Lytechinus pictus: one gene and its partner. The protein of the gene in region 1 interacts with the protein of each later gene in a pairwise test. Links are inferred from orthologs where the notes say so. Each region holds a gene or a part of one and is shown in the gene's direction. Other genes may lie near its edges. The genes, in order: U3 small nucleolar ribonucleoprotein protein MPP10-like and U3 small nucleolar ribonucleoprotein protein IMP4-like.

Region 1 (9,785 bases):
AAACGGGACATTCTATTCACCTATTTAATCATGAAAAGTATGGGTTTTTGCTACAGAAATGATGCGAGCGCGAAGCGCGAGCTGAAAATTTTTGTATTCCAATCTGAAAAGCGGACATTTTGAGCATGATTTGCAATAGAGAACGAGTTGTGTATCTCAATCTCGCTTGCTGAACATTACACCCTTTTTTTTTTTTTTGCACAACTGGAATTATTGGGGGGGGGGGGGCAAAACGATATGTTTGCCCCCCCCAATATTTTCATTGGTGGGGCGATCGCCCCCCCAGGATCGACGCCTCTGGTAAGGAGGGCTAATCCGGTGAAAAAACAAGATATTTGATCAGATTACTTGAACCTGAATTGATGTTTTCTGAACAATTTCATTTGCAACAAGGAGGCAGCTTTCTTTGGTAATGCTATAAATATTAAGTATTTATTTGCTCATTCCTATAGCTTTTAATTTCCTCTGAATAGTAAATTTAACATTTTCCTGCTTGCTGTAATGATACCAGGGCATGCTGTAACAATTTTTTTTAATCTATCGCAAATTTAGGACCATGATGTTGATTGGATTATGGCCATAATAACGATTGATCATTGTTACTTTTAAGTCAAAATTTCATGTTATAGCTCCAAATTTGCAGTTATCAGAAAACCACTTTCATATCATAAAATGTTGTTCTCATGAATTCTGTTCATGTCTATACCCACTGCAAGCATTATTTTTTCTATCTTTTGTCTGTTACGGTCTTGTTTTGGTTATTATGATGATAATAATTAATACATGACTTGGGTCATGTATGCTTAAAAGAGTGATGATGAATTGATTACTAGTAGATTTTTAGTATCAAGGTTAAAGGTGCACACAGGTCATTATGCCTCTTAAGCTCTCTCTCGTTCTTCCAAGAACTAAAGAACCATCTGGGGTATCCACTTCATTAATAGGCTCATATTTGCACATTCGTGTGACAATGATCTGGTTAAGTTTTGTGGAAAGATGATATTGACTGTGCACGCAAATGTTCGCAATCAGTTATTATTTTCATCAAAGGACAATAACTTGTGTTTCATGATGTTTGTACATATAATGGACATATGCATACTCTTGAATAATGATAGACTTGTATTCCTATTGGATTTTGATTGTGCAATAAAGATTTCACCCTTTATCTTACATGAACAATGTTTTAGAACTCTTCTTTCTTTTTTTTACCTATTCTAAGTATTTTTATTTTTTTACAGCATGAAATAAATGCTAATAATGTTTTCCCAAATGGAGGGGGAAGGGAAGATCAGTGGTGGAAACACTACTATTGATTCTGCCACTGATTCAATATATCCAGAAGCTATATGAATATTTTCATTGGGAGGAGCAGTACTAAATGCTCAAATATTTGACCACCATAACATAAATCAACATCTGCAAGAATCTTAAGAAGGGAAGGAGGCAGTTTATAGAGAAGAAGATGAAGAGGGGGGGGGGGGGGGCGGGAAATGAATGAAACGTATATGATCAGTAAGGAAAAGATAAGATGCATAGTAAGGATGATGGTGATGATAATGCTTTACTCTTATTTGGGTGTTCAGAAATGTGCCGCTCTAATTTGCATGACTTTTTTTAAAGAAAAAAACCTGAACAGGGGGTGTGGTTTTGTAAGATTAAATGTGAAAGTAGATATTTCTTTCCTAGATTAAGTATGCCAAAAGAGTAATTTTTCCAATGAGAACTGATTATGATCATTACAAAGAGGATCTCCATTAATATGATGCAGGTAATAATGTTGCCGTGCATATCACTGTTTTGTGCAGTAGGCCTATGCCTAACCTCAAATGGTCATGAATTTCTAATCTCATATTGGATTACAAAAAGTAAACAATTTTTGTGAGTTGATGTGATTTTCCGAAGTTAGTTGTATTTGGTTGCCCTAGGAACGCCCTCCCAGCTATGATAACAACCAAATCTAATAACAATGGTACAAATCATGATACACAATTGCAATTGCATGGTGCATTGGTAACACATGGATATTCATGAGACATAGTAAATATGAAGATAACTGTATAAGAGCGACAAAATACACAATTTAAGAAAAATACAGTCATTCCTCTGAGAGAGAGATACAAGGAAAAGAGATATATGTGTGTGTTTGTGAGAAAAAAAAAGCGTCATACTGCATAAGAATTAGACAAAAGGAAGGAAAAAAGTCGAGTGGAGGGGGGGGGGCGGGGGGTGCCTACATTATATGCCCTCAAATTCAGTTTTAAATACACAGCTATAGGGTACCCGGTGACACGTTTTCCTTCTGTTGTGTTCTCTTCTCTTCCCCCCCCCCCCCCCATTTGATGGTACGTTTTCAAGCCCCCATCTGTATGCAAGGGGCCGATTGCACGAAAGGGTCTTTGCAAGGACCATCTTTCGTGTCGCCCATTTTTTATGATGCGCCATGTGAAACGCATTTCAAATAAATTATCTGCAAACATATTGGGTGATTTCAAGTACGGTGTTCGGAGTTGGTGTTGGTGTTGAGAGCGTGAAAAGGCTGCTGAACCGAGCTCCAACACCGAGCTGAGTTCAGAGGAGCGATACCGATCGCGTTATCGATAACCTATGACGTCACGCTTCTGTGTTGCGCTGCTGATCATCTCAACTTTACGCAAGAAATTCTCGACGACGATAGTGAAATCGGGAATAAACTGCAATAAAATCTTATCGTACAGAATGCAAAGGTTAAAATCACTGCAATAATCAGAAAGCATAAATATTATCTTTCACTTAAATGTGTAAAACTCTAATGATTTTCGCTCATCTTATCTGTAAAAGATAATTTTACGGAGATGTTTCATCGTGTTCGCTGCCTGTTCGTGAGCTACAGTTCATCAACACCAACACCAACACCGAACTTAAAATCACGATTTTCCCAATCCCTGGGGGTTGGTGTTGGTGAATGGGGAAATTGCACGTAGATCGTCAACACCAGCCGCAGTGCTTGGTTCAGCAGACGACATTCAACACCAGCCTTCAACACGAACTGCCGGAAATACGTCATATTTTCCGAGGTCAATCCCCGGGGGGGCCACTTCCATTGACGAGTGGATACCATGCGCGACCACGGGGTCTTGAAAAGCACCCTAAACACGTATTTTCCATATTCTGAAAATGCACCCCTTAACAAGTATTGGCGTGTGAAACCTTACCCTTAACAAGTATTGGAAACAAATACTATTGGCAGGTATTCCCAGAAAAGAACCCCTAAACAAGTACAGAGATATTTTACTGTTATGTCACGCGTCCGTCGGTTTTACCTTTAGACACAGTATTTTGGTTTAGTACGGCCCCACCTTCCACACCTCGTGCAAATCGGACTCTAAACACGTAGTGTTGGGGCAAAAAGGACATCCTTTATAAAACATTTTGTTTTTGTTTGATCATCCCCGCATATAGTTTTACCCTAAACACGTATATTTTTCCGAGCGAAATAGATACCCTTTTTTCAATATTTTTGTGTTTTTGACACCCTTATCACGTTACGTACGTATTTGCCCTATCTTGAAAAAGACATCCTTTTTACGTGTTTTTTTGGTCGCGCATGGTATCCACTCGTCAATGTAAGTGGCCCCCCCGGGGGTCAATCCCAACACCAGCCTGATTTCAAGTACGGTGTTGTGGCTGGTGTTGGTGTTGTCACAACACCAACACCAGATTTCAACACCGTACTTGAAATCACCGATTGTATTCGTCAGTTAAAATAAACAAAATATTTATTTATTAAATGATGTGATATCTCATGAAATTGTATAAAATTTGATTTAAAAGCAAGCTTACGAATTTTATTTGTTTATCATAAATTTCAGAAACACACCGCTTATAGCGCATCATAAAAGACGGGCGACACGAAAGACGGTCCTTGGAAAGACCCTTTCGTGCAATCGGCCCCAGGGCTTTAGGGGGTGAGAAAATCACTGTTTACCAAAATTGCTGTTCAAAAAGCTGGGGATGAGATGCTGTATAGACTGAAGTTTAAGTACCTTTTTTTTTTACAAACAAAATAATAAGGTGTATCTCATGAGACCTTGATAATGCAAGCGCGAAGCCCGAGCTTAAAATTTTGCACGTCATGGCTTTTACCTAAATTTTTTTAAATATCTGAACCATATAACTTTTTTAATATTCATTATAATCTATAATTTTCCTTGGATTTTATCCCGATTTCCTTGAATATTCTTAAATATCTTTTGATTTTGTTTTCATTTTCTTTGTAATTCCTTGATTTTTCAAAATTCGTTGAAAAATTCCTTCTTTCGTCAAAAATTCCTTAAAATTCCACAAAACAAGGAAAATTCCTTGAATGTGGAATTAGCGTTTAGCTTTCCATACATCTAAAGCAACGCTACTGCAACAGCATGGCGTCAAAAGATGGTCATTTAAATGGTGCTTTACACAAGTTCGAAAAATCTACGAAGAATCCAGAAAGATATATTAGGTTTGTATAGTGATTTTGTAGTGATATTTATAGTTTCATTTAATTTGAATTCCTTATTGTGCTTTAATTTGCAGCTTATCTTTACGATATTTTGTGTTCAGTCCCACCCATGTAGTTTTGAGTTTGTTGAGAAGATTTTAGCTAACTCAACCAGGCCAGGTACACGAACGGGGAAAAATCAAATTAGATTTGTCTTCCTATTGTGTTTATTGAATTGTTTGTCTATTTTGTGTGTGTGTGTGTTATTGAGTTTTACAGACATCAATTTGCCATAATAATCACTTTGATTTTGGCTTTTGGGCAGCCAACGCACGCCCGGAATTCGGAAAGAGAAACCACTCTGGGGCTACACCGCTATTCCAACGCGTGTTGGAAAAGTCGACGCCAGACGGGTACGTTTTGGCCTTGAATTTCCAGCAAATTAATCAAAATTACGGCCTAAATTTAGGTCTATGTTATCAATTATATACTAATTTCATAATTATAATGTAAAACGGGTACTCACGGGTTCTTTTCTTTCCAAATTTTGTGTTTTCATCGCCTCTTCTGGCCAACTCTTGCGATGGATTTTGTCGCCATAGGATCCTGTACGTGCAAATCCAGGGCGAGTTGTCACATGACGCTCGCGAGTCTCTAGGGGTAATGGCCTTTAATCAAGGCGTTCTTTTTGCTATAATTTTATAATGACGCTTAAATATCGAAATCAATGTAGACGAGTCTGTGCAGGGGCATAACAGGGGTATATAAGAGGGGGCATAGTACATGTCGCATGTGGAAGATAAAAGTTACGTAATGTAAGTCCCGAGCACTAGCGTACCTAGGGGGGGGGGCAGTCTGCCCCCCCCCCCCCCCCGATGAGTCACAAACCCATGCAAATTACATATCTCTGCCCCCCGGCCCCCCTGACGAGCTTGAAAACCTATTTTGCCCCCCCCCCCCGACGAGCTTGAATACCTATTTTGCCCCCCCCCTGGCGAGCTTGAAGACTTTTTTTTTTGCTTGTCAAATTTTTTCTGGTACGATTGAAGACCTTTTTCATTGAAGAGCCTTTTTTTCCTTTTTTTTTGCTTGTCAAATTTTTTGGCGGCCGATTTTGCCCCCCTGTGGAAAATCCTAGGTACGCCATGCACTGCCCGCGCTACATGTATGTTGGTAGCCCTGGGACCTCTGGATATTAACTAATCCAATTTAATTACAGATGGCAGATTTTTTTATTATCTGAGTAGCCCCCCCCCCCCCGGATTATTTGTTCTCACATTACTTTCCTTTTTAAATTTCCTTTCGTTCTTTCTTTCATTTTTCTTTCTTTCTTCCTTCCGTTGCTCCTATGTTTTTTTTTCAGGTGAAATCCACTCGGGGGATGGCCAGCCATGCCCCCATCTGTTTATGCCTCTGAGATGTAGGCTATACTCATGATCTTAATCTTCGATTTTCCAAAGTAGGGGGGTGCAATTTCTCAAGTAAAATTTGACAACCCCCCCAAAAAGGTTATCACAGAAAAATTGTCATTTTGTCTCGCGTAAGATTTGACAAGTAAAAAGAAAAGATGGTTACTAAAAATAAAAGACTCATTTTGTCCGTGTAATATTTGGCAAGCCTCCCCCCCCCCCCCCAAGTTTAACATATCGGAGGCGCGATGGCTCAGTCGGTAGAGCAGGGGTTTCGGATTCCGGTGACCCGGGTTCGATTCCCAAGTGGTGCGCTAGTGCCCTTAAGGCTTATCCTCATTACCAGGTCCCTCGGAGAGGACCTTAAGCCGTTGGTCCCCTGGTTGCTTGCTCACAGGCATTCGTGCTTTTTTAGCAGTCAGGTAAAAAATCTCGATATAACATAACATTTAAAAAAAGTGAAGGTCATTTTGTCCTGCGTGAAATTTTAAAAGTAATAAAAAGATGGTCACTAAAATTGAAGTTCATTTTGTTTGTGAAATATTTGGCAAGCCCCCCTCCCAAAAAAAGGTTTTAACTAAAAATGATTGAAGGCCATTTTGTTCCTCTTAAAATTTGTCAAGTATAAAAAAAAAAATCACTAAAAAATGAAGGTCATTTGTCCCACGTAAAATTTGACAAGCCCCCCCCCCCTAAAAAAAAATGAAAGGTAGCTGATAATGATTGAAGATCATTTTTTCTTGCATAACATTTTACAAAAAAAAGTGTGTCACTATTTGGCGAGCCCCCTACCCTCCAAAAAAAAGGTTTAATTAATAATGATCGAAGGTCATTTTGTCTCTCGTAAAATTTGACAAATAAAAAAAAAGTTGTCACTAAAAAAAGAAGGTCATCTTGTCGCGCGTTATATTTGGCAAGCCCCCACCCCCCTAAAAAAGTTTGTCATTAAATATAGAAAGTCATATGTTCAAAGTAAAATAAATTTGGGAAGCAAAAAAGAAAAGGACAAAAAAGAGCAAAGAATATGAACAAAATATCCCCATTACAAATATTGCTGTGATTCTCATAAGGAGGTGGGGGGGGGGGGGGGACTTAACTTTGTACGAACGACATTTTTTTTTTACATCCAAAATATTGACTATGAATCTCAAAAGGTGGAACGGGCCAGAAATGCTCAACCCCCCCCCCCCCCCGATCTGCCATTGATTCCAATCGATAATGACTTTTCCCTGCAATACTGATGCTTGAAATCAAGATACTGAAGATTGATATATTGTAATATAAATTATGAACGTCTGACAAAAAGATAACCAACCGATCACCTGACCGATCAGCTGACCAGTACGTGAATCACATCGTAGTTGATCAGTCCCCACAGCGTTTGGAACGCTCACCAAGAATTCAAGAAAAAAGACTGAAAATGTAAGTTTAACCTCAATCCATTAAATTTCAAATGTCGTAGAAGTTTCCTAAATTGTTACCATCCACTATGTATTAAGGCGTACATTTGCCAAAGTTCTTGGGTGCAAATAGAAACGGCAATGTCTAACCGGTTTTATCACTGATGTCGCCTATGAGGTCCATACATGTAATGTTTGGACCTCATTGGTACTAGGAGTGAGAGAAACTAAATTCAAGTTAACATGGAAAACTAATTTCACAAGCCAGCGCTGCACCACTGACACTAATACGAGGTTAGTATATATACTAACCTCGTACAAGGGACCGTGTTTGACCCTGGATTTCGAAGTAGTTGGCAAACATCGCTTCATTGCTGAAGTAATATTTGCCGAAACTCCTTCTCGCTAGACGCTACGCACCGGGGCTCTTTCCGGTAAGTAGCAATAGGCCTAGGCCCTACATAAAAAATTGATTTGTAAATAATTTCATTACAAAAAGAGCAAATTTCGCTTACCTCGGCCAGCAAGTGACTTCGTTTGTCTACGGAAATACAAGGAAGCCCGTTGGTGGCGCTAATAAATTTCACAACCTTAGGCTTGATTCAGCTCCTCGGTAATTTTATAACTGTGTCTAAATTCTTTGAATGCGCAATTCTTATGATTAATTTACTAATTATGGGCACCAATAAATGAAATACCTTCAAAAACATAATTCAAGATTACTATTGGCGATGATAACACTTTTTTGCAATTAATTTAAAACGATGACTAATAAAAAAAAAATTGAAAAAAATACACATGCCTGGAACGAAACCAGCAGTACAAGCTTTAACGAAATTCAATAATACGGTATACCAAAGTCTATACAATGAAAAGATTGGACACTTCACAGACTTTGCGTAATGCCTTGCGTCGATTTGCGTGTAAAATAGTGTAGGTGCCTAGTCTTTCCCTTGTCGTGTCTTTGACATGAATATAAATCGTGTGCCCTCTTTAGGCAAAAATTGATATCCACGCTGACCAATTTTTGTCTCCGTGAAATCTTCACTAATGATCAAGAAAATATACATATTTTTAAAAAGAAACTTCAAGGAGAAGTCACGGAAGAATCTAAATGATTCGGTAAGTGTCATAGCAGAATGTGAAATACCAGATTATGCGTGATATTTTATGTGGGCAAAAGCCCAGTATATTTTGGATGTGTCGTGTGTGTCGCGTGCATATGACCGATATTCCTTCGCCCGCGAGACGATATGAACCCATGGGTGGCGCTGCACTGCAGTTGTCAATCACCACAACACACAGCAAACACATAACTTATATACACAGGCACTATCACTTACCACATGGTAACCCCGATTTCAACTCCAAAATCCCTAGGGCCTAGGCTTAGTATAGTAAGGCCTTACTTAGATAAAGTAAAATTTTGCCCTTAAAATGCGAAATATTCACCATAAATTTCAGAGCACGCGGCAGCCTTAGGCTTAGCTCCTTAGCTCAGCTTTAAGAAGCGGGGTAGTCGAAACATGCGCTTAAAAAGTTAAAATGAACAAATCTGTGGTTTTGTTCCCAGTTCGCAAACTTAAGATCGTATCTTCAAAATGGCACATCAAAAAGAAAAATCTGAAAAACTCTACTGCATTGAATTTGCACAGAAAGCAAGTCAACGGCATGCTAAAGGCAGGCTTTCATTCTACATGGGGCCAGGGTCCGAGCGTAATACGGGAGCAAATGACGGCTGCAACTTCCAGGTTGCATGCGGTGTGCAATTCAGTGGCGTTTGCACGCATTGACTTTTGAAGGCGCGTTGTGCCGAACAAAAGGCAGGGGCTGTTGAACTGTGGTCACAATATACGGTGATGCATTTCAAGATTTTATGAAAATTTGAGATAGAAGTTAAAAATAAACATTGCAATTAAAAATAAACAAATATATTTAACAAACATTGATTCAAATTTCATTTTGTGAAAAAACATTTTAGAACAAAAAATATTACAGAAAATCTTAACATGTAAAATTTCGGGCAGGCTGCTCTAACGCCAATATGGCCAATGGTTAATGTAGGCACTTACTGCAATTTCAGGAACTGAGAGTGCTAAAAATAGATTCTGTAACCTCAATTCCTCCCAGTTTACCATTTTATGACTTACCGTCTTCTAACAATTGTGTTATGAACCTGATATATTTACATTAACTAGCACACTGATTGGTGTTGGCCAACTGCACTTGACAGGTGAATGAACTTTCCTAGATTTCTTGTGTAGAGAATTTATTATAAATGAAGATAATCCCAATACAGGGATGATCCTAATTTTCAGTCTGATGTCTCTACTGACAAGACAAGAAAATAATAATGGCATCCAGTATGTCTAATGGTGATACAAAAAGTAAATTGAAAATGGCGACATTGTTGATGTTTTTGACAGAGCACACACATGAGTTGAACCCAACATGGTGTTTCTTGTTTGTATTTTATGAATATGCATGAAAAAGCTAGGATTCCACATCTCATATTCA
Region 2 (10,518 bases), on another chromosome or scaffold:
CAAATTCGACCCTAGAAAACCGATTTCACCCTCTAACTATGGATTTCCTGGGGAAATCCATCTTTGTGTACATGTGTCTCTTATACATATATGGACGGGGGTTCAAGACTCCATGATGAAGAAATATATGTCAAAATATTTATTTAAAAAATCATCATTGTCATGGAGTCCTCAAGACTACTGTCTAGTAATATATGCTGCGACACCACTTCTGGCGTCCACAACACACAACTTCTATCTGTCTAGATCTTATGGCTTGATTTTTCTGTGCGAGGCGGCGTATAATGAACCCTTGAGCACTGTAAGTTAGGCCTGTTGTTGAGTGCAACTGCAGTCAGACCGCAGCTTGTGCGATAATGAGCATATTCACAAAGATTTATTCAGCAGCCCTCTAGCGGTCTCCGAAGGAAAACGTGCGATCAATTTGGCTTGATTTTCCCAGTGAATTGGAGGGGCTGAAGTTATAGCTCTGTACTGGTCGCTAACTTCAGTTTACATTGAAACGAATTGTGGTAAGTTATTCTCAAGGCCTTCATCTACATTTTGATATATAATTTTTCATATTTAGACATTTTCAACCTACCATTTTTACCTCTTTAATTGATGCTTATTTTAGTAATATTTTAACTGCGATTTTGTAGTCGGAATTTCACTTTTGGTTCCTGACTTTGCTACATAACCAAATTGTTTCGATCGGGGTTTTTTATAAAGAAGAACAGTCACCGTTCAAAATATGTCAGAACCAATTTGACGCAAACTCACCTTCTATTTTTATTTTAGAAAAAATGATACCCTAAAAATCAAGAAATTTACGTTTTACCCGGAAGTAACCTTCTCGTTCACTCTACGATGGCGCAAAATAATGCAAAAATTACGTTTGTCGCGGGTTGGTAGGATTTCGCCTTTGGTCCCATACGTTGAAACTTCTGTAATGATGACAGATGGCTCGCATTATTTATATGACGGTGGACCTTTTTTTTTTTTTTGTAATTAAGACTTAATATAAACCAAGCTCAATAAGTACGGTAGATCTCTTCTAAAGTTTTATTTAATGATTATCAGGTTTCCGAATTCCATCAAGTTTGTATAGATTGAGATATTTCTTGATTTATGTTGAAAAAAAATGTTAACCTTTTTTCTTAATTATTCGAAGTTGAGTCCCATGATGATTTTTGCCCCAGGCTGCGGTTAAGAATGAAATGATGATTAGCTTAGACAGTCTATTCTATAGATTATAAACACTAAAGTTTAAAGTCAAACTAAAAGGCTGGTACTACCGTACTCAGTAGTATTTATAAACCATTTTGTTCAAATAAAAAAATTGTGGCTGTCGCAGACAGTACTATTATTAGTCTCTTGACTTACATGTAAAATAATTCATACATGTACTTTGAATGATTATTTAGTAATTTAAACTATTTCTCTCTTTTTTTTGGTCTCTTCTACACACAGATCTGCACACTTGCTGACTCTGGTCTCTGCTCGCTACTTTATTCTGGGAGATTCCATCATGTACTATAACGGTCAGACTGATTTGGACAAAGCCATTTTTTCATTTGCAAATTTTGAACTGATAATAATACAACAGAAAATTGATCTTTATCGATATTGGAAACAAACAAATTAGAGCACAGTTTTGGGGAGGGCTAAGAATACTGACTTGGACAGGAATACAGCTTGACAAAAATAAGAATACACAATTTAAAACCAAAGAACATTTTTAATGTTACTAATAGTCCATTGCAAGAAACTTTTTACTCATTCACACATTCTAAAATCAAGGGTAAGTCCTTTGATTAAACACAAACATGTAGTTGATTTGCAACTGAACATAAGTTTCTTGCAATGCCCCATAATTATATTTTGTTCTCAAGCAACTCTGTTAAATGTTATCTCAAGGCTCGACATTAGCGGTGGCCCGGTGGCCCGGGGGCACCAAAAATTCACCTCGGGCAACCATTATTGATAAAATGTTAAGTTTTGGTGACCCGAATCCGGCGAATCGGGCAACCAATAATTTTCAAAGTAGCGCAATTTTTCTCCCAATTTTGCATGCATTTATCAACTTTCTACAGCTCAAATTGCAAGCCAGTTCGTCATGCGCCCTTTTTGTTGATCTACACACAAATACACACACACAAAGTTTGCATATTAGGCCTACAGCTATAGCATACAGTAGCTATTATCCAGCCAGCCGCGCCGGCCGGCTGGCGTGAGCTTTGCATGAAGCCACTGCATACAGCTGTGCTCTAGATCTAGCTCAGCCTATTCAGACTCAGGGAGCTGCGATAAAAAATGTTGCTGCTGAGAAATCTTCCACAGAACTTTGAAAATCTAAGTCAAAGTCACATTTTACATCAATGAAATGCAATTCTACAGTCTATATTACGAAAATCTGGTGTACCCTGATTATTTGCAAGTATTAAGAAGAGGAATTATGACCTCTCTTTTGACTCAAAAAGACCGATTTCAACATGAATTAATACACATAAAAACACATAGGCAAGTACATCACAGTCCCACGTGTGCATTTGTATGTATGTTGATACTTGGTTTCTTTCGAAGCTGTGTATTTTCTAGCCAAAAACAAACAGACAGTTTCTTTCTTTCTTGTTTATAAATGACTTCTTAAACCACTCTTGAGAAAGTAAATACTTTGGGAAGGCATTTCATTGATATGAAATGTGATTTTTTTTCCAACATTTTGGCAAATATAGGGAAGGACTTTTCTCACACTTTTTTCCAGATATAATTTTTGCAGTTTTCTTTTTTTTTTTCTTTCATTTTTTTTTTACAGTGGTTAAAACCATTTATACCCCTTCCCATTGAATATGCCTGATAAAAAAATATGTTTCTACTGAAAATAAAATAATACAAACTAAAGGATATAGAAATAGAAATGTGCCATTCCCAAAAGGTAAGTGAAAATTATTTGCTTGGCTTTTAATTATATTCCAGTAAGAATAGACTGTTGCCACAGCTGTTAAAAAATATATGTAATGGCTTCATAATTTTCCCCTTTTTTATATTAACTTTGTTTTATCCATTTTTCTTTCATTTTCTTTCCTTTTTTTCTCTAATTTTTTTCTTTTCTTTTTTCCCCTGTTCTTTGTTTTTTACTTTCTTCATTTTCTTTCTTTTGTTTTATATCACTAATTTCTTTTATTATTTTTGTTTTCTTTTTGTAATATACTTTTTGAAAATTATTTTCGTTTGTTTCCCCCTTTTATGCATTGTTCTAATTTTGCAGCATATTTTCTGTGATTTTCTCCTTCTATAATATGCTGCAAAAGAGAAAACAGAAATAAACTGGATTTGGGGCATGCATAATCTAGGTTTTAGGATTCAAAGAGGAAGGAAGGAAAAACCATTGTTTTTTACATCTATCTGAGTTTGCTATGCACTATTTTTTTACTTTACCATTATCTCTATACAGAGATTTTAAAAAAAGTCCACACAACCAGCGAACAATACAATTCATTTATTCACTTTCAATCATTTCATTTTACAACGATAGAAACAATTATCAATTAGCAAAGTAAAATAACAGGAAACAAGGTTTACATACATGATGTATAAAGTGAAAGTAACTTAGTGCCGTGGTAGTGGCTGCAGAATTAATATTTCAGAAGTTTGTTTTATTCATTTTTAATGTTTTTCTTTATATTTTTCGGGCCACCAAACTTCAATATCGGGCCACCAAAAAAAATTATTTGATGGTTTTGGTGGCCCGAACGGGCCACCACCAAAAAAAGTTAATGTGGAGCCTTGGTTATCTAATGTGTTATGTATGTTCACAATTTTTTTTTCTCGAAAGGTATATTTGTCCTTTTAAACGGTATTCGAATATGGTTACGCTTTCTTTTTGTTTTCCACAGTAATTATTGCATGTATGAACAGAAGTGAAATATTTGTTGTGAAGCACTGTGTGATCATGGAGCTATGGTGTGATGGTATTATAATTAATTCATCATTTATGTTATAAGACTGTAAACCTGGTGGATGTGAGGGAGTGGCCTGGATGAAAGGAAAGTGAACATGTGTCCAATTATGTCCAATGTAACCTATTGTGATTCGATGAAGAGTTTTTATATCAAATTTGCTAAAATTGATATAATAAAATGCAACCAAAATTTAGAAAGTAATGTGATGTGAGTGACATAATCAACTCTATTTGCATACCATTGTTTTGTGTATATAACTGTTTTGTGTTGAAAAAGGGAAATTTCTCTATTTATTCAAATAATTTTTTGTTGATGTGCACTTGACCTTGACCTTGACTGGGCGTTGTGGCGTGCGCCTGTAATCCAAGCTATGTGGGGAAGTTACAAATTGATGCAGAGGTTCGAGGTTCGAGCCCTGGTCACGTCTTTCGGATGGTGACGTTAAAGGTCGGTCCCAGACGTAAATAATCATATCTGATTGATACACGTCTGACAAAACTCAAATACACGACGCACTTGACCTTTAACTCACTTCCCTTCCCATCCCTGCCCAAATAAGTGTAAACAAGAACTTGAAAATCAAAAGTGAATCAGAGTTATTAATAGCTCCATGATTTAATAATACAGGCCTAAATAGAAATTCACATGAATGATGAAAGTAAAAAGAGAATAAAGCTGGGTAGGAACGGGAAAGGAATATGATTTAAAGAAAAAGCTAAAATATATCCCCACCACCCCCCCCCCCCCTCCCCCGGAAAAAAAAACACATTCCGTCGGGTTCGATCCAGGGTCCCTGCACACGTCAAAACATTGTGCTTACGCAAGTCGCCATAGATCGCTTTCGTACTTCTTCCGGGTTTTTAATGCTATATGAAATGTTGTAAGTCTGTGCGCCGCTGTTGACCAATCAGATTCAGAATGCGTTGGCAATTCTACTGCAATTCCAATCATTTTGCGATGGACATTGCCGTGAATTTTTGTGGTTCCTGTCCTGACTTTGCTACATCATGAAATTTCATAATTCTTTTTCAGTCATAAAGAAGAATGTCTACGCTTTATATTGATTATAATATCAATTTGACGCAAGTGTGATTTCTATGCAAAAATACGCTCCGTTTATTCACATATATTTCTTGAAAAAATCCTTTATTCTAAGCTAAATATTGGTCTACAAAATATGTTAAATGTGCATTTTATTTAACTGATCAGGAATTTCAAAGGCAAAGCCTTATCTATAAAATAAGACCAATTTTGTGAGGAATAAACGATTCTAAGAGCAAAAAACACTGATCGGAAAGTTCGTCTTCACAGCTCATTGCTTATGCATAACCACGGACGGCTATGCATACCGGTACCGCTGAATAAAATAGAGCACTTTCGGAAGTGCTGCGGACTGACTGTGCAACTGCAAGTGCAAGATCAGACAAGAGATCTAACTTACACAGTACCGTACATATTTCGCAATGTATGGGACTGTAGTCTGTAGATCTATAGTATAGCAGAACAAAAGTGCATTTAAAATCATATAAACGAATCATAATTATGATGAATCACAAAAATTATATGAAAAAGTATGCGTACCATTTTTGTGTCTTTACTCTTCTGTTTCGACCCAAAAGTTTAACTGCATGAATTGAAAGCTGTGTCGATGCTCAGAGACGGAGTCAAAATCAAACGTCGTCGTCGGTAATAATAGTACCCATACCACACTCAATTACCGACGCGTATATCTACCGATATCTATATCTCAGAGCCCTTTTCTGCGCGAAAAGGTACAATTGATATGATTGGTCAAATCTTCGGACCTTGCGAAAGATTGACGAATAAACAAGTTTCAAACATAATAAGATACCAATGTGCAGCACATGTGTGAAAACTGCTATTCCGCAATCAAACACCGCAGCATCTTTTGAGCTGTTTTAATTTTCTTCAGTGTTAAAAATGGTAAAAAATTGTATATTATTGTAGCAATTTAAGATTTGATTATATTTGCATTTCAAGTGCAAAACTTGTTTGCTCTAATTCGAACTCAATTTACTTCAAATCAACCTCGGGCTCTAGACTAGAGACTAGACTATGGCTCTGCCAGGCGCGACACTGTCTAACTTTCTGCGGCTTCTGTCGGCGTCGAAAATCGTCCGCACCCGCTCCGTGCCGAGTGCCCGACTTGATCGCGAAAGCATGACTGTGTTTTCTTATCTTGGTGGGTTTTTTTTAATTGCATAACTTCCTCAAATTATTTTGATTTAATGATACTAAAAGTGAACAGAATCATATTTCATTATTTGTCAATAGATTTGATTATTTAGTAATAATACTAGTATTAGTATGCTTGTATTTTATAGACACGATAGATTTCTACTTCTAACAAGTTAGAAGTAGAACTAGTAGAAGTAGAACTAGAATAGTAGAAGTAGAACAGGTAGTCGGGTAGAAAATTTTAGTCTAACTTGTTACAAATGTTAGAATCTATTATTTTTCCCAGTTTGTGATTATGAATTATCAAAAATATTACAGATGGTTTACATTTAGAATAATCAATTTACAATTTTTTAATTATAAATTCTGATTCCAACAAGTTCAATAATGTAGGTCCTAAATGATTTTATGTTATTTATCTTTTTCACATGTTATATATAATGAGGAAGGAATGAATATGATAAAAAAAAAGAAATTAGAAAAAAACTTTCCTTTGCCTGCTTTGAATTTAATTTTATAAAGAAATATCAAGATAATGTATAATTAAAAAAACAGAAGCTTTCTGTCCCGCGTTAGATGCCGGGCAATTTTTTCTGCCGCTTCGATAAGCTCCAATCACCATTTGTTGCTTAATCGCGCAGTAGCATACGCAGGGATGGGGGGGGGGGGGGTTACATACAGGTGGTTCAACCTGTAAGTTACAGTGTAACCTTTATTTTTTTTAAACAACCCCTCATCCTCCCCCTCTAAAAATAAAAAAATAGGTACGAAACGACCTCCAATTTTGTGTTAAAGACCTTTTTTTTGTCAAATTTGAATTCTGAATTCACTGGCGGATCCAGGGGGGGCAAACCTGGCCCGTGCCCCCCTTCCCCCTTTGAGAAGCAAAAAAAAAGAAAGAAAATATGTAATGTTAAAAAGTGAAGTGAAAGTGAAGACCTTTTTTTTTTGCTTGTCAAATTTTTTCGGGGCCGAAATATTCTTAATTTTTGTCTCGCCCACCAGAGGTGAGGGTGAGACTTACATGTAGGGATCCAAATGTAGTCCGTCTGTCACAAACATTATGACACAACTCCGCATCCATAAGTCACTTGTCAACCAAACTTGGATGGTAGATGCACTTAAGGGACCTGCATGTTATGCTGCAGTCAGAGGTCACATGGTAAGGCCAAAGGTCATTTTCAGGTCGATGTTAAAGTTTACATGCAAGACTTAAAACACAACTCTGCAACCGTAAGTCACTTTTCAACCCAACTTAGATGGTAGATGCACTGAGGGGACCTGCATGTTATGCTGCAGTTGGAGGTCACATGGTAAGGTCAAAACCCAAAGGTCATTTTCAGGTCAAGGTTAAAGTTTACATGCAAGACTCTCTTATGACACATAACTTAATGCTAAAACCAGTTAAACGAGGCAAAGCGATCTTCAAAACTACATCGCGAGGTGGTTTCTGATCCGGTTTGGAAGATCGCTTCCAAGGCCGCTTCGACCGTTCTCGTTACACGTTAAACTAGTTTTTCCAGTAAACTACTTTTAGGATGGTAGAGAGAACAGTGTGATATAGACTCTTTGGGATCATGTACAATCTCGCATTGTTGGCATCGTAGGCCAATATTGTTCCAACATAGGTCGTTGGTCACTTCAGTCATCCATGCTTTCGTCGGCGGGGTATTCTGCAGTTGTTCCGGCCTTTTTCATCTCTCCAAAACTCTGTACCACAGATAAACCATTTTGGAGACTTTGACTTTGTCATTCTAATTCTGCTGCAAGACTGACTTGTAATGTATTTTGGGTGCTAATAATGCATTTTCGCGCCAGCCGATCTGGTGAGGTTAGAAAACTATTTTTCACCTCAATTTTGGGGCTCTCCAATTTTTGTCAAATATCTATCCAATCGATCATTAGCCCAAATTTCAGCCACTTCAAGCTTCAACCAGGAAACTTTGAGTTTGATCTCGATGTCGTCCTTCGAATTATCGGTCAGACGTCGCTCGATCAGCCAATATCGCTGTAGTTTGAAATCGACTGAAGTTACCAATTCAAAGATCTGCCCGGGGCAGCTCGCCCGTGCGTTCGCAAGAGTGAGGTTGCTAATTTCAGTCAATATCAAAACTACGGCTATAGCCAAGCACCGCTGTCTGACAGAGAATTCGAACTATAACTTAAAGATCAAAGCTGAAATACAGCCGTTCCTGATGCCTGAATATATGTGGCTGAAATTCAGGTCAAGGATTGATTAGATAGATATTTGGCAAAAAATTCGGACAAAATTTGAAGTGAAATTAGTTTCCTAACGTTGCCAGGTCGGCCAGTGCGAAACTGCATTAGTGCCATATTTTGTTCAAGCTGTCTTGCCTTGATTTTTGAAGGCTTGATTTTATTAAAAAGCTTTTTTCATCAAACCAGCAATTTGGCCACAGTCATGAGACATGACTGTAGCGATTAAGTTAGATCTAAATAGAATCCTAAGGTTTGTCCATGATTTTGCCTCTTGCACAGTCGTGTGTGTGTGATTGAGTTTTTACAGGTGTGTATTAATCAGATGTAGTTACTTACAACCGTCACCCAAAAAACAAAAGACCTGACCAGGGCACGAACATCTGCATCAATTTGTAACTTCCCCACAGAGCTGGCACACTGTACAGTACTATCCGAACATCTATGGAGAAAGGGAATCATAATGTGTGATGATGTAAAAAACTTCTCTGCCTAGCAAAGTCTCCAGAAGGTTCACCACCGTAGATGCAAAAATTAAGAGGTCATGACCCCCCCCCCCTCCCCTTACCAGGTTTGACTTTGCTGATTTCTTATTTCCAAAGTTTCTCAGTTACTACTAGTCTTGACACACAGACACCCATGCATATTGTGTGCATTTCAAATAAGTGAGAAATATTGATTTTCATTTGCTCTTTACATTATGACAGTTACGGAGGCAAGCTCGTCAGAGAAGGGAGTATTTATACCGAAAATCTCAGGAGGAGCAAGAACGTATCATCAGGGAGAGAAAAAGAAAGTTGAAAGATGCTCTCGATGGTAGGTTTACGGAAACTTGTTTTTATTTGATAAATCTGAGTTTTCCAATGTATTCACACTCACTAGAATTTGTGAATAAGTAAATTGTTTTCTTATCTAGGTAAATAAGTGGGAAAATCCTCATTAAAATATACCAATTTATTTTCCTGCAGATTAATATATAATGGTATACCAGTTACGATATGTATGAAATTCATGTTTACTTGAATATTTATTTTTAGGGCTTTAAATAATTAAGGTGATTTACTCAGTGTCTCATTTATAATTATTCAGCTTGAAAACTTAATTTGATAATTTAATCCATTTTATTTTTTTAATTCATCCAGAAAACAAGAAGATTCCAACAGAGTTACAGAAAGATGCACTAGCCCTTCAAAAGGCCTTGGCGTTTGATGATGATGGAGGAGAAGGTAATTTATACAGTATTTAACATGAAATAACACAGTGATGGGAATTCATGGGATGCAGAGTAAGTGTGTTTTAATTAGTTGACTCCAGACTTAAATGCTTAGGGCATTCTCAAGCCAGGGAAAGTAAGATAACGTATGTGGCAATGTATGGATTGTACCGAACAGTCAAGTAACATGACATTATGATTATTATTGTTTGTTTTGGCGTCACCTGTTCTTGGGAAGCAAAAAGCAAATTAAATCACTATGACCCGCCGGTCTCTCCTCTCGATATAACTGATGTGGGCAGAGTGGTGGTGGACCACTTTTCTAGGGTTTCCCTCTACTCTTATACGAATAGTGCAGTAGGTTCTTAAAGGGTTGGTCCGGACTGAAGATATTTATATCTAATTAAATAGAGTAAAATTCACAGAGCAAAATTCTGAAAATTTCATAAAAATCAGATAACAAATAACGAAGTTATTGAATTTTAAAGTTAAGCAATATTTTGTGAAAACAGTTTTATGCATGTCATCATAAATATTCATTAGGTGGGCTGATGATGTCACATCCCCACTTTCTTTTTTCTTATGTTATTACATGAAATCATAATTGTTTCATTTTTTCAGAAATGTGTAAATGATGTGTCTCCATTATGATGAAATAAGTTGCATCAATAAATAACTAATGCTCTTAATCAGTTGCCAATCCAATTGTTTTAGTTCTTGGTAAATTTTTTTTGAATAAACCTAATTTCATATATTTACAAAAGAACAAGCAAGGATATGACATCAGCCCACCTAATGAATATTCATGAGGACATGCCTAGAACTGTTTCACAAGAATAATGCAAATCTTTCAGCATTTTGTCCTCTGAATTTTACTATATTTATTGAGATATAGGCTAAATATCTTCAGCCCGGAGCATCCTTTTAATATGCAAAGGTGGTGAT

Evidence for each region.
Region 2: the proteins of U3 small nucleolar ribonucleoprotein protein MPP10-like (region 1) and U3 small nucleolar ribonucleoprotein protein IMP4-like interact in a two-hybrid assay, tested with the Drosophila melanogaster proteins (2 studies listed by BioGRID). The link is inferred for Lytechinus pictus from reciprocal best matches to the Drosophila melanogaster genes CG13097 and CG11920.

Annotation. Positions count from the first base shown.
Region 1 is NC_087249.1:26,504,153-26,513,937, forward strand, and holds the start of U3 small nucleolar ribonucleoprotein protein MPP10-like, read left to right. Parts: upstream 1-4,343; 5' UTR 4,344-4,400; coding exon 4,401-4,480; intron 4,481-9,785.
Region 2 is NC_087247.1:40,745,648-40,756,165, forward strand, and holds the start of U3 small nucleolar ribonucleoprotein protein IMP4-like, read left to right. Parts: upstream 1-5,659; 5' UTR 5,660-5,885; coding exon 5,886-5,888; intron 5,889-9,067; coding exon 9,068-9,176; intron 9,177-9,502; coding exon 9,503-9,586; intron 9,587-10,518. Other genes in the region: pre-mRNA-splicing factor ISY1 homolog, read right to left, coding at 5,526-5,528.